3 linked regions of the Canis lupus familiaris genome follow. The protein of the gene in region 1 interacts with the protein of each later gene in a biochemical or structural test. Links are inferred from orthologs where the notes say so. Each region holds a gene or a part of one and is shown on either strand. Other genes may lie near its edges. The genes, in order: CCNE1, ARIH1 and CDC25A.

What was found.
Region 2: of the proteins of CCNE1 (region 1) and ARIH1, one has a biochemical effect on the other in vitro, tested with the Homo sapiens proteins (3 studies listed by BioGRID). The link is inferred for Canis lupus familiaris from reciprocal best matches to the Homo sapiens genes CCNE1 and ARIH1.
Region 3: the proteins of CCNE1 (region 1) and CDC25A form a complex in vitro, tested with the Homo sapiens proteins (2 studies listed by BioGRID). The link is inferred for Canis lupus familiaris from reciprocal best matches to the Homo sapiens genes CCNE1 and CDC25A.

What each region holds. Positions count from the first base shown.
Region 1 is NC_049222.1:122,576,637-122,580,974, forward strand, and holds the start of CCNE1 (G1/S-specific cyclin-E1), read right to left. Parts: upstream 2,910-4,338; 5' UTR 2,837-2,909; intron 1,703-2,836; exon of another isoform or gene 1,686-1,702; intron 1,363-1,685; 5' UTR 1,330-1,362; coding exon 1,307-1,329; intron 1,219-1,306; coding exon 1,131-1,218; intron 924-1,130; coding exon 855-923; intron 1-854. UniProt on the Homo sapiens protein: Essential for the control of the cell cycle at the G1/S (start) transition.
Region 2 is NC_049251.1:36,458,458-36,462,103, reverse strand, and holds part of ARIH1 (E3 ubiquitin-protein ligase ARIH1), read right to left. Parts: intron 3,086-3,646; coding exon 2,979-3,085; intron 918-2,978; coding exon 875-917; intron 349-874; coding exon 277-348; intron 1-276. UniProt on the Homo sapiens protein: E3 ubiquitin-protein ligase, which catalyzes ubiquitination of target proteins together with ubiquitin-conjugating enzyme E2 UBE2L3.
Region 3 is NC_049241.1:41,252,295-41,255,910, reverse strand, and holds the end of CDC25A (M-phase inducer phosphatase 1), read right to left. Parts: intron 3,277-3,616; coding exon 3,146-3,276; intron 990-3,145; coding exon 878-989; intron 652-877; coding exon 511-651; downstream 1-510. UniProt on the Homo sapiens protein: Tyrosine protein phosphatase which functions as a dosage-dependent inducer of mitotic progression. Directly dephosphorylates CDK1 and stimulates its kinase activity. Also dephosphorylates CDK2 in complex with cyclin-E, in vitro.

The sequences.
Region 1 (4,338 bases):
GCTTCCCCTACTGGAGCCATAACTACAGTCTCCAGCCATTTCTGGAGGTAGGAAGATAACGCAAGGTTTTTCTGCTAGGAACTGCTGATATTGTAACGATATCACGAGCACGCAGGAAATTTGGCGGCAACTCCATGACGGAGAGACAAGAGAAATGGACTAGTCAATTTAAAAAATGTGTTGAGACACAGGTATCGTGACAGAGAATGTTCCACTGATACTCTGGCTGAGGCCAGGCAGAGCCCCGGACGGCAGTCCTCATCACCGTAGGTAACTGCAGGACAGGCTGAGGACCTCCAGAAGGGGGGAAGTTACATACCTGCTGCTCACCGTGTGGTGGGGGGAAGGGAGGTCCTTAGCACCAGGACCGAAAGACAGAAGCGGGGACGGGGAGAATCTGGGTCGCTATGGACACACACAAACCCCCGCATCACAGTCGCAGGAGAGCTCTGTGTCAGGAGCCCTCCCCCAGTTCCCCCGCCTGGAGACAGGGCTCCGGGATGGACTCCGCCCTTGGCTTGCACAGGACTCTGGGTCACTTTCTTGCCCTGAGTCTGAGTTTCCTCAAGGGCAAAAGGAGAGGACTGAGTTATTTGATGTCCACTCTGGTTCTTCGGGACATCAGCGCGTTATCTGTAACCTCGGAGGTGCGGGTGAGGAACCCAACGCCTTCCTGGGGTCCCACGGCTGGCCGAGGCCAATGCCACCGACCGGCCAGGCCTCGGCCCATGGATGAGCACCATGGCCCCCGGTAGAGGAACGGCTCCAGCAGGAGGCAGCGGGGACCGAGCGTCCATCTAAAGCACAAGGCGCAGCAGGCCCTCCGCCCAGGCCCGGTGGGCACGTGAACCTACCTGTCCGCCGCACTGGCCTCTCGCAGTCCTGTCAATTTTTGCAACTTCTTCATCCGGATCCTGCAAAAACTAAGGGAGGGCGACCCCCAGCCCCCAAGGAAACACACCAGACGGCCCAAAGACAAAAAACACAGAGAGAGGAGAGAGAGAAAGGTGGTTAGGCTGCGGGCACCCCAATCAGTACAAGGAGGCAGGGCCCCCGGGGTGGGGGGGGGAGCCCCGCCAGGTAAGGCCCGGGAGGGGGTCTCCTCCCCCACCTGTCTCCTTTGTACTCACAACGGCCACATTTGCCTTCCTCTTCCTGGAGCGCACGGACACGTCGGTGCCAGCGTCGTCCTTCATGGGGTCCCGGTCCTGCGCATCCCTGCGGGCCGCCGGGTGGCACCGAGGTCAGGGCGGGCGCTGGCAGCCTGGGCTCCCCTCCCCCCGCCGCGCAGCCACGGGGCACTCACCTCTCCCTCCTCTCCCTCGGCATGGCTGGCGCGGCACGCGGGGCCGACCTCGGGCCCTGGGGGCACAAGCCGGGCGGGGGTCAGGGCGCGGGCGGGGGCGCGGGCGCGGGGGGGGGCAGGGCCGGCCGCGCGCCCCGGACACCCCTCCCCCCGCGCGGGCGGCGGCGGCGGCGGCGGGAGGCTCGGGCCGGCCGGGAAAATGGCCGATGGGCCCGGGGGGCCTGTCACCCGCCGCGCCGGGTCCGCCGCGCGCCCGGGGCCCCGCCGCCCCCCGCCCCGCCGCCCCCCGGCCCGGCCCGGAGCCACCCCGCGACCCCGCCGCGCCCTGGCCCGGCTCGCCCCCCCCCCACGGAGCCCCGGAGCACGGCCCGGCCATCACCGAGCCCTGTCCGCAGGCGGGCGGCGGGCGGCGGGAGGCGGCGCGGGAGGCGGGAGGCGGGAGCGGCGACGAGCGCGCGGCGGGGCGGGATCCGCGCTGCCCCCTACACCGCGCGGGCGCCGATCCGGCTGCTCCGCGCCCGGCCGAGAGCGGCGACATTAAAAATCCCTGCGCGCCGGAAACCGGCCCCCGGCCCGCCCTCGCACCCTCCCGCCCAGCCTCCGCCCCGCCCCGGTCGGTCCGAGGGCCCTCCAGCGGCCGCGCCCCAGTGCCCGGGCCCGGCCCCGAAGCCGCCTGCAGGCCGCCGACGCGCGCAGACGGGCAGAGGCGCTACGGACGGGGGGGCGGGGCCTGCGGGGGCGGGGCCTGCGGGGGCAGGGGCCTGCAGGGCGGGGCCAGCGGACTGGGCCTGCGCGCCGGAGGGCCGGGGCGGGGCCTGCGGGGCGGGGCGGGGCCTGCGGGGCGGGGCCAAGCCACGGGGCCTGCGCGGCGCGAGGTGCGGCGCGGCGCGGGACGCGGGAGGCCGGCTGGCGCGCGCGCGGCGGGGGGCGGGGCCGGGGCCGGGGCCGGGGCTCGGGGGGCGGCGGGGGCGGCGGGAGGCCGCGTGGCCGGCCCGCGGGGATGTAAACACGGCGCGCGGCAGGGTGCGGGCCGGGCCGCGGGGGCTGGCGGGGAGCGGGGAGCGGGGGTCCCGCCGGCCGTCGCCCCGCCGCGCGCGCTGCCCCTCCCGGCACGTCCTCCCCGCCCCCGAGACGCAGGGTTCCGGGCCGGGAGCCGGGGCGGGCCTGTGCCCAAGGTCACCGCGCCTGGTCGCGGGCCTACGACCTGGGCCGGCAGCCGCGGGTCCGGGGCGTCCGTGGGGCGCCGGCTGCCCTGCGCGCGCCCGCCCGCCCTTCCGAGCGCGCATTCGCCCTGCAGCCACTCGTTGAGCTGACCTCCCGGCGCCTCCCCCGTGGGCCCCTCCCGCCACCTCCGCGGCTGGGGCCTCGGGGCCCGGGCCGCCCCTCTGGCTGAAAGCCCTCCCGGTGGCTCCCGTCGGGCTCCCGGGCCGGGCTGCAGGGCTCCCCTGGAGCTCCGTCGCCCGCGGACCCCCGCCCCACCCGGTGCCCTCGCAGCCGCTGCCCCACGTCCTCCCCCACGTCCTCCCTCACCTCGGCGGGAGCTGCCCTGCGCTGCGCACTCGCCCTCGGGGCTGCTCTTCCCTCCCTAGAACTTCAGGGTCTCCGGTGAACACGGAGTCTGGAGCACCCCGCCCCCCGCACTTCCTCTCCACCTCCTGCCCCGCTGTGTGTCCTTCACCCAACTTGCCGCCAGAAGCCTCGTGCTCCTGGGTTTCCCTGGTCGCTCGCTGTCCCTCTCCCTCCCGGGAGTTCCGGGCTGCAGCCCCCAGCTCTTGGCAGAGTCCCGGGGTGCGGGTGCGGGTGGGGGTGCGGGTGGGGGAGGGAGACACTTGCTCATCTCTGTGGGTGAGTTGTTGAGAAGCATACAGCCGCCAAGTCCTTGTGGACCTTCCAGGACAACGAGACCATCACCTGAAAGTACCTTGTGAACTAAACTTGGCAGAAGCGGCAGGTCCCCATGTCGCAGGTCCCCATGTCGCAGAGGGCTCCCAAACACTCCCAAGACCCTTCCTGATGCACTGTTCCGCCCCCCCCCCCCCCCCCCCCCCCCAAGCATAAGGATCTTCTTGAAGTGAGAGCCTGGGTCTGATTGAAGAGTGTGCCCTGTGTCATCCCCGGAAGTCCCTGCTAGCAGATGTCGGCCTTCCAGGGGCCTGGAGCTGAAGGCTGCTGAGATGACTCACTCAGGTTATCTCAGGGAGACATGAATGCAGGCTCCTGAGCTCCTGGCCCGGTGTCCTTCAGTAATAACAATAAGAGGTACCACGAACAGCATTTCCAAAACGTCAGCTTTGGACTCAGTCCGTCAGAGTGTTCAACTTCATGATAATCCCATCATGTTGCTGCTACCATACTGCTATTTCAAAGAAGGCAACTATCTACTTCTTAGGGTGATTATGAGGATTGGGGTAACACAGCTTACAGGGCTTGGTGCACACTCAGTGCTTAGTAAATGAGAGATATAGGACAATGATAAATACAACATATGTTAGTATTACAGATATCAATATATATCATTGTTATCGATGATAGACACAGACTTTTCCTTAGTGATGGTAGCAACTTACTGTCCCACTAGCGAGAATGAGAGTTCCAGATGTTCTTTTTCCTAGCTGACGCGCTCATCAACAATATGGTCGACACAGAAATGTGGTATATTCATTCAGTGGAATACTGCACAGCAGTAAAAAGGACAGACCACTGGGGCATTCAGCAACATGAAGAAATCTCACAAAAAAAAAAAAAAAAAAAAGAAAGAAATCTCACAGACGTAACCGTGAGCACGAGAAGCCAGACACAGAAAAGTATTACTGTGTGATTCCATTTATTTGAAGTCTCAGAAAAGGCAGAACTATAGCGACAGTGTGAAACCAGCAGTTACTCCTGGGGTGGGGTTAATAACCGGGAGGGGACCGAGGGAACCTCCTGGGCACTTCCCATGTGTTCTGCTTTGATCTGAATGCGTGGTTGCGTATGTAAAAATTCATCGAGCTCTACATTTAGGATTTATGTACCTTCCTGAGTGTATGTTC
Region 2 (3,646 bases), on another chromosome or scaffold:
TCTAAAGAAGAGTACTATGCCTATTGCAGTAGTGCTCAATAAAATAAACTTGAACACTAAAAAATAAAAAAAATAAAAAAAAGGCATTCAGGGGGAGCAAAACAAAGAAAACTCCAAACTCCCCAAACAACCCAAAACCCCCCAAATGTTAACTGAGGTAAAGGTAAAACAAAGTCCTAAACTATGTAAGCTTACTTGTTTTGCTAATGCTGATGCACCTATTCTTATCACAGTTTCCCTAAAAAAGGAAAGAGTTTACTGAAGGAAAATACCAACCTTTGTGTTGGCTGCAATCCAATTAGAGGTTTCACTATCATCATCACACTTTTTAATCCACTTCTTTAACCACTGTTTGAAAACAACAACTGTTAGGGTACAACAAAAGACTTAAGAAAAAGGATAGTAAATTACTTCAACATAAGGATAGTAAATTACTTCAACATTTAAATACAGTCAAGCTTAAATGTAAAAGGCAAAGGACAAGATTATCACTGGATTTACTTCCTTATAAACCAAGGGAACCCTATAGTTCTCATATCCAGTATATATAAAATCAACCAAAGGAAGACTTTCTCTGGAGCCAAGTGGGAACCCAGAGCTCCAAGATGTGCCATTTCCCCTGAGCTAATTACAAAGCCTGCCCAGAGAGGTTCCTTAACCACTGTTATCCTGATAATCATTAGGATCGGACTTATTCCTATGGAATGAAATTTCAAAAATTTCAAAAATTCAGATGATCATCTGAAATAAAAAGGAAAAACACAATCTTCTATCTACAAGTGGATAACAAAACTGTGGGCCCTGGTTTTCAGTCATCAAGTCTCAGAAGTGTTTTATTACGTTATTTAAAAAAGAAAATGCCAGATAAACTCACCTTACATTTAACAGGATCGTGCCAATTTTCTCCACAGTTAAAGCTGTTAAGTAACACAAGAGTTAAAAGAATTAAGTCCTACCTACTGTACGTAGTAAACAAATCATTTCATGTTTTATAGTTTCTCAGTGGTTTCATAGTTTCTAGTGACTGGCAAATACAAGGGCAGGAGTCAAGTTTTTATTATTCCACCACAGATTATTTAGAATTTAGTGTTAGGATACCATTATCGTTGTGTGTCTGTGTGAAATGAAGAAATGATTATAGGCATGAAGACATGCTATGATGATAATTTTATAAAGACTCTCTAAATAGCCACCAAACTGTAAAGACAAAAAATTCAGTTTAATCAGATCTGTATTTTTTTTTAAGATTTTATTTATTTATTCATGATAGTCACAGAGAGAGAGAGAGAGAGAGAGAGAGAGAGAGGCAGAGACATAGGCAGAGGGAGAAGCAGGCTCCACGCAGGGAGCCTGACGTGGGATTCGATCCCCGGTCTCCAGGATCGCGCCCTGGGCCAAAGGCAGGCGCTAAACCGCTGCACCACCCAGGGATCCCCAGATCTGTATTTTTCTGATCATTTTACATATGTATAGTTTTGTGCTGTAAACATTCATTAATTGAAACCAAATAATTTTCACTAATTTGAACTTAAATTTCAATCAATGCTTTATTAGAATATATTAAATCTCTTATTTAACACCCCAAATGAAGAGAAAAGGTCTGACTTTGTAATTACGTAATTTAATGCTAATGCACAGTGAGCAATATTTGAGAAGCAAACAGGTCACATTTGCATGATCCAAACAAATTAACCTCAGTCCTATAAATTGTACCAAGCAAGGTATAAAACAAGAGTGTGACTAAATATTTCCTAAGAATATATTAATTGTTAATTCCTTTCTGTATTCTAGAAGCATGCTATATACATTTAAGAAAGTATAAATTAAGAATAAATACAAATGTTTATGAAAAAAATAATTGCTGAATGGCTGATTAGCTAAGTAATTCAAGAATGGCAAAAATCCTTTGCAAATGAGGGGAACAAAGTACTATCAAGTGAAGTCAAGGATAATGGGGGGAACAAAGTACTATCAAATTAAGTGAAGTCAAGGATAATGGTTACTTCTGGAAAAGAAGATAGGGAGTGGGATGGAAAAGGGAACAAAGGAGCTTCAAATGAATGTGTCATGTTTTATTTCTTAACGAAAACAAGATACTAACATTGTCTTAGCTGGGTGGGTTTGTAGCTATATAAGTATTCACTGCTGTTATTTTCTATATTTTGGTCTGTATCAAGGTATTTCATACAAAAATGTTTTAAAGTAGATACAGAATCAGACTTTACCTCCTGTCCATAGGATAAACTCTAAAATAGTAATGTATATTTAATCTTTACCAAAATAGCATGTATTTCACACATATTTCATCTCTGTAAGGTTATCTGCTCCTTTTTGGAAATATTTAGTATTAATGATGTGTAAGTCTAATTCTACAGTTGCTTGTGGAGGAAAAAAAGAATGATATGAAATACCAATATGTCTGTTTGCTAGTTCTTAGAGCTACTTGGTTTGATTGGTTTCTCATTCCTGAAAGATCCACAGGGAAAATGGAAAATCATTTTAACTAATACAAATACGTGGTACTGGAAATTCTCTAGTACTAGAAATTCTCTATTAAGTCAAATCTAGAATTCAAAGACTGAAGAGTATGTTATAAACTCCACAATGGAGGTCACCAGGAAAGCTGGGCCAGTAAAGCCACAGGGAAAATATTGGTTGAAAAGTATATCTAATCAACCATGTTCTATCTTTACAAATTTATCCACACATTTTCCTTCTAGGAGTAAGATTAAACTTTTCAGAACAAAGGAAAAATAATCCTCTGTATTTTGTTTCCTAAGAGATAACTTGAAAACAGAGCAAGAGCCATAGAGGAACTAAACATAATAAAATAAGCACTCCATCAGAAATGAGAACTAAACTCTTGTCCCGTATCTGTAAGTTTGCTCCCATATTAGTTCCAACGGAGCACACAAGAAAATGTGATTATAGCTGCATTCTTCTATGTACTATTTCAATTTAGGAAATCACATGCTTACCAAAACTGGCGCCCACATTTGCAGCGAACAGGTTTAGCATCAGGATATTGGACTTTAACAACATGGTGGCAATCTGGGGCAGGACACCACTTTAACAGTCGATTGCACTGAAACCCAAATTAGAAAATAAATACCGACAGCAAATTATATCATGATGCAATATTTCCTACTACAATAAGCAATTATTTACATTGCTTCCCCAGTGTAAGGGCCAAAGACAGAGACACAAGCATATAAAAGACTGTCCCCAATATTTAGTAGTCTTCTAAAGTAATGCTTTTATTTTAATTTTATTTATTTATCCATAGAGACAGGGGTGGGGGTGGGGGAGGCAGAGACACAGGCAGAGGGAGAAGCAGGCTCCATGCAGGGAGCCTGATGTGGAACTCGATCCTTCGTTTCCAGGATCATGCCCTGGGCTGAAGGCAGCTCTAAACCACTGAGCCATCCGTGCTGCCAAGTAATGCTTTTAGATGCAGTTTTTCCAAGATTACAGATACCTTGAAAATCTGGTTTTATAAGTACACGAACCGTGTCTTGGTTCTACCTTCAAAATCCTAATGACAAGCTTTAAAATAATTACCCATTTGTGATCATTAAAAAGTATCAATTTGTTTATGGTTCTTCAGGGCAATTTTCAAAGATGTGAGAAATCAAGATACACTGCT
Region 3 (3,616 bases), on another chromosome or scaffold:
TCCAGGAGTTTAAAAAAAAAAAAAAAATTAAAGTGATTGATGAAGTTGAATAAATTAAAGATATGGGTTATCCCACAAAGACCATTCCCTTCCCAGGCTGTCTTTGGTATTTGGCCAGCAGCATCTCTGCTCGTGGACTTCTCTCCCCCCCACCACCCCCCAGAGAACAGCACCCAGGAAGGCCCCAGGTGGTCTGTCCGACGGTGGTGGTGGTGGTGGTAAGTCAGAACTTCTTGAAGTGGTACCCAGAACTGCACTGTGGCAGGCGACAGCCCTGGCAGACAGTCACAAGGCAGAAGGAGAAGGTCTTACAGAGACAGAAGAGGCGTGGCCGGCAGGATGTTCCAGCCCCGCAAGTGCAGCAGTAGGGGTCAGGCGCACAAGCCCCGGGTCCTCTCTCCACATGTCACGCCCGTGGCTGGTCCCTTTGCTCAGGTTTCTCTGCAGCCAAGAGGGAAGGGGGGAGGCACAGAGGGCAGCTCAGGCTGCTGCTGTCTGGCATGGCCACCCTCACAGCTTCTTCAGACGGCTGTACATCTCCCTTTTGCTCTTTTCCCCTGCCCAGGTCCGGCTCTTGGTGCGGAACTTCTTCAGGTCTTCTTTGAAGTCCTCATGGTGCATGGGCCGGTAGCTGGGAGGCTCGCAGTGAGACTGCAGACGACAGAGGATGAGATGAGGGGCCCATGCCTCACGCTCCTAAGCCGGCTCTCCCCCCATCTGGGCCTGCGAGGCTGGGATGCGCAGCAGGGCCTAGGACCCTTCTTTGTGTGAGGCAAATCCCCAGACCCCGAACAAGAGACAGCCACGACAAGCACACGGATCTGCCCATCCAGCCTGGGTGAGGGGTGCACCGTGCTCTCCAGAGACCTTGCCTCACCTGGCATTTCAGGAAGAACTCCTTGTACCCGCCCTTCAGGACATACAGCTCCGGGTAGTGGAGTTTGGGATACTCGTTACCAAGCCGATCTCTCTCTCTCACGTACCGGCACCTAGCAGCGAGGAGGCAGGCCAGAGCAAGGTTAGCTCTCCTAACTTGGGGCAACCCGAACTAACGGTACGGTGAGCACAGCAGTGCCGAGCGAATACTCCTGACACACAACTTCTCACTTTCCCAGTCATTCTTAGAAACCAGCATTGAGCTGTGGGTCCCAGGCCACATGTGGTCTTTAGGAAGAGTTCATAGGGAGATGGATGGTCTCTCCCAAGCTGTCCTTCCTCCAGGTTCAATGGCCCTACTGTCTGGCCCCTGCCCAAGGTCCTCTATGCTACCACCCACACCTCATGTGGAGTGACGGCTCCCCATTGCAATCTCCGCTCACCACACCCTCCAGCTCCTCACCACTAGGGTCCCTCCCTCACTTCCTAACTAAGCCAGCTGCTTTCTTCCTGTGGCTTTTAAATAGGCAGAGCTTGGGATGCCTGGGTGGCTCAGTGGTTGAGTGTCTGCCTTTGGCTCAGGGCATGATCCCAAGGTCCTGGGATCAAGTACCTCAGCGGGCTCCTAATAGGGAGCCTGCTTCTGCCTCTGCCTTTGTGTGTCTCTCATGAATAAATCAAAAATTTAAATAAATAAATAAACAAGCCAGCCAGCCAGCCACCCAGCCGAGCTTGCTCCTGCCTCAAGGCACCTACTTGTACTCCTGCATGGAATACTAAATACTCTCACTAATACCCTCACCTGGCAGTGGCTTCTTACCTACCAACCCTTGGTACAAAAGCCAAAATCCTTACAGTGGCCCCCAACTGGGTACCCTGCCCCTGCCTCCTCCCCCATCAGCCTTTACTCCAGCCACTCTGGCCCCCTTGCTGCTCCTCCAAACTTCCTGGGAGCACCCACCTCTCATCTTATTTGTCTCTGAAATACCTTCTAACACAGAGTAGTTAACATATTATTTATTATATTTGTCTGCTCCTGCCCAGTATGAAATGCAAGCTCCGTGAAGGCAGGGCTTTTTGTTCTCCTACATTTTGCTGTTCTCCACAGTAATCAGAACACTATTTCGCATGTGAGAGGCAATGGGAAGTACCTGTAGAGTGAGTGAACGTTAGTCCTCACCCAAATCCTACCCCTTCATGTGATCACAGTTTTGTGCTTAATGTAGGACAAGTCCTTGTCCTCAGGAGGTTGGTGGGGAGACAAGTTCCTGTTGTAGTTATGTGTGTAATTCTATGTGTGCTAATGCAGCAAAACAGAAGCTGCTGATGAAGTCAGGTGAAGCACATGTGGGCAAATGGCCTTTTTCTTTTCTTAAAGAAAAAAAAGATTATATTTGAGGGACGCCTGGGTAGCTCAGTGGTTGAGCATTTGCCTTCAGCTCAGGACGTGATCCCAGAGTCCCCAGATTGAGTCCCACATCGGGCTTCCTGCAGGGAGCCTGCTTCTCTCTCTGCCTCTCTGTCTCTCATAAATAAAAAAAATAAATAAAATAAAATAAAATTAAATAAATAAATTAAATTAAAAAAAAAAAAGATTATGTTTGAGCAAGAGCATGTGCGAGCAGGGAGGAGGGGCAGCCGAGGGAGGGAAATAATCTCAGGCAGACTCCCCGCTGAGCATGGAGCCCACATAGGGTTCCATCTCACAATTTTAGCATAGTCTGACACTTAATAGACTGAGCCACCCAGGCGCCCCCGTGTGGCCTGACTTTAGAACTGGTTCAAAATGAAAAGTGCACAAGGATCCAGGCCTAGGGGCCCATGAAAAGTCTACCTTGTCCTACCCCAATCAAGGCTGCATTCCACCCTGCCTCAGCCCTCACCCCCGTCTCCAGCTGGCCCTCTGTACTCCCAGCACCTACCATACTAGCCAGAGACAGGGCTGGGCTGGAGAAGGCCTAAAGCCCTTGGCCACAGAAACTGATAGGTCAAGCCTATAAAAAGCCATACTCAAGGAAGCTGTTCATCAAATTGACTGCTTAATAGATAAGGATTTGGGCACACATCTGCTACACATGAATTTGAAATTTCACAAAAGTGAACATTTACAAGTCATGTGCGCAGGCTAAGGCATGGAAATGATTCAGGATGTGGGAGAGGGTGCTTGCTCGGTATACTGAAGTACGCCCTGAGGGTGAGCCATCCATTGCCACATCCCACCAGTCAACGCAGGCCTGAGCCGCAGAGCCCAGTTTCATGCAGTACTCACATGCGAGGGCCTCGCTCAGAAGAGAACTCGCAGTGGAACACGACAATGACACGCTTGCCATCGGTAGGTACAATGGGCTTCTTTAGTAAGAAGTCCTCAACCTCCTCTTCCATGTGCAAGTTCACTGCACCCTGTGAAGGCACCAGAGACTCTTGGAACCTGGGCATAACATACTTGCCAATGATTCTTCTGTGAGAGTCACCTATAATTGGGCACCTCATATTCTGTTATGACTATGGCAGACAGGAGTGGTATTTATGAATTCGGAACTTTTGAAAGCTACTAAGACACTGGCAAATGCTAATGTTGTATTTAATGTACCCTTTTATTGTATTTCAACACTATTTTATTGGTTAAAAGATGAAGTTGGCACAACCAATTACTTTTTTCCTGGGAAAGCATGACCCAACACCTGCCCTCCACCCTGCAGCTTAATTCAACTACAGACTTAGAGGCACCACTAAGTATGGC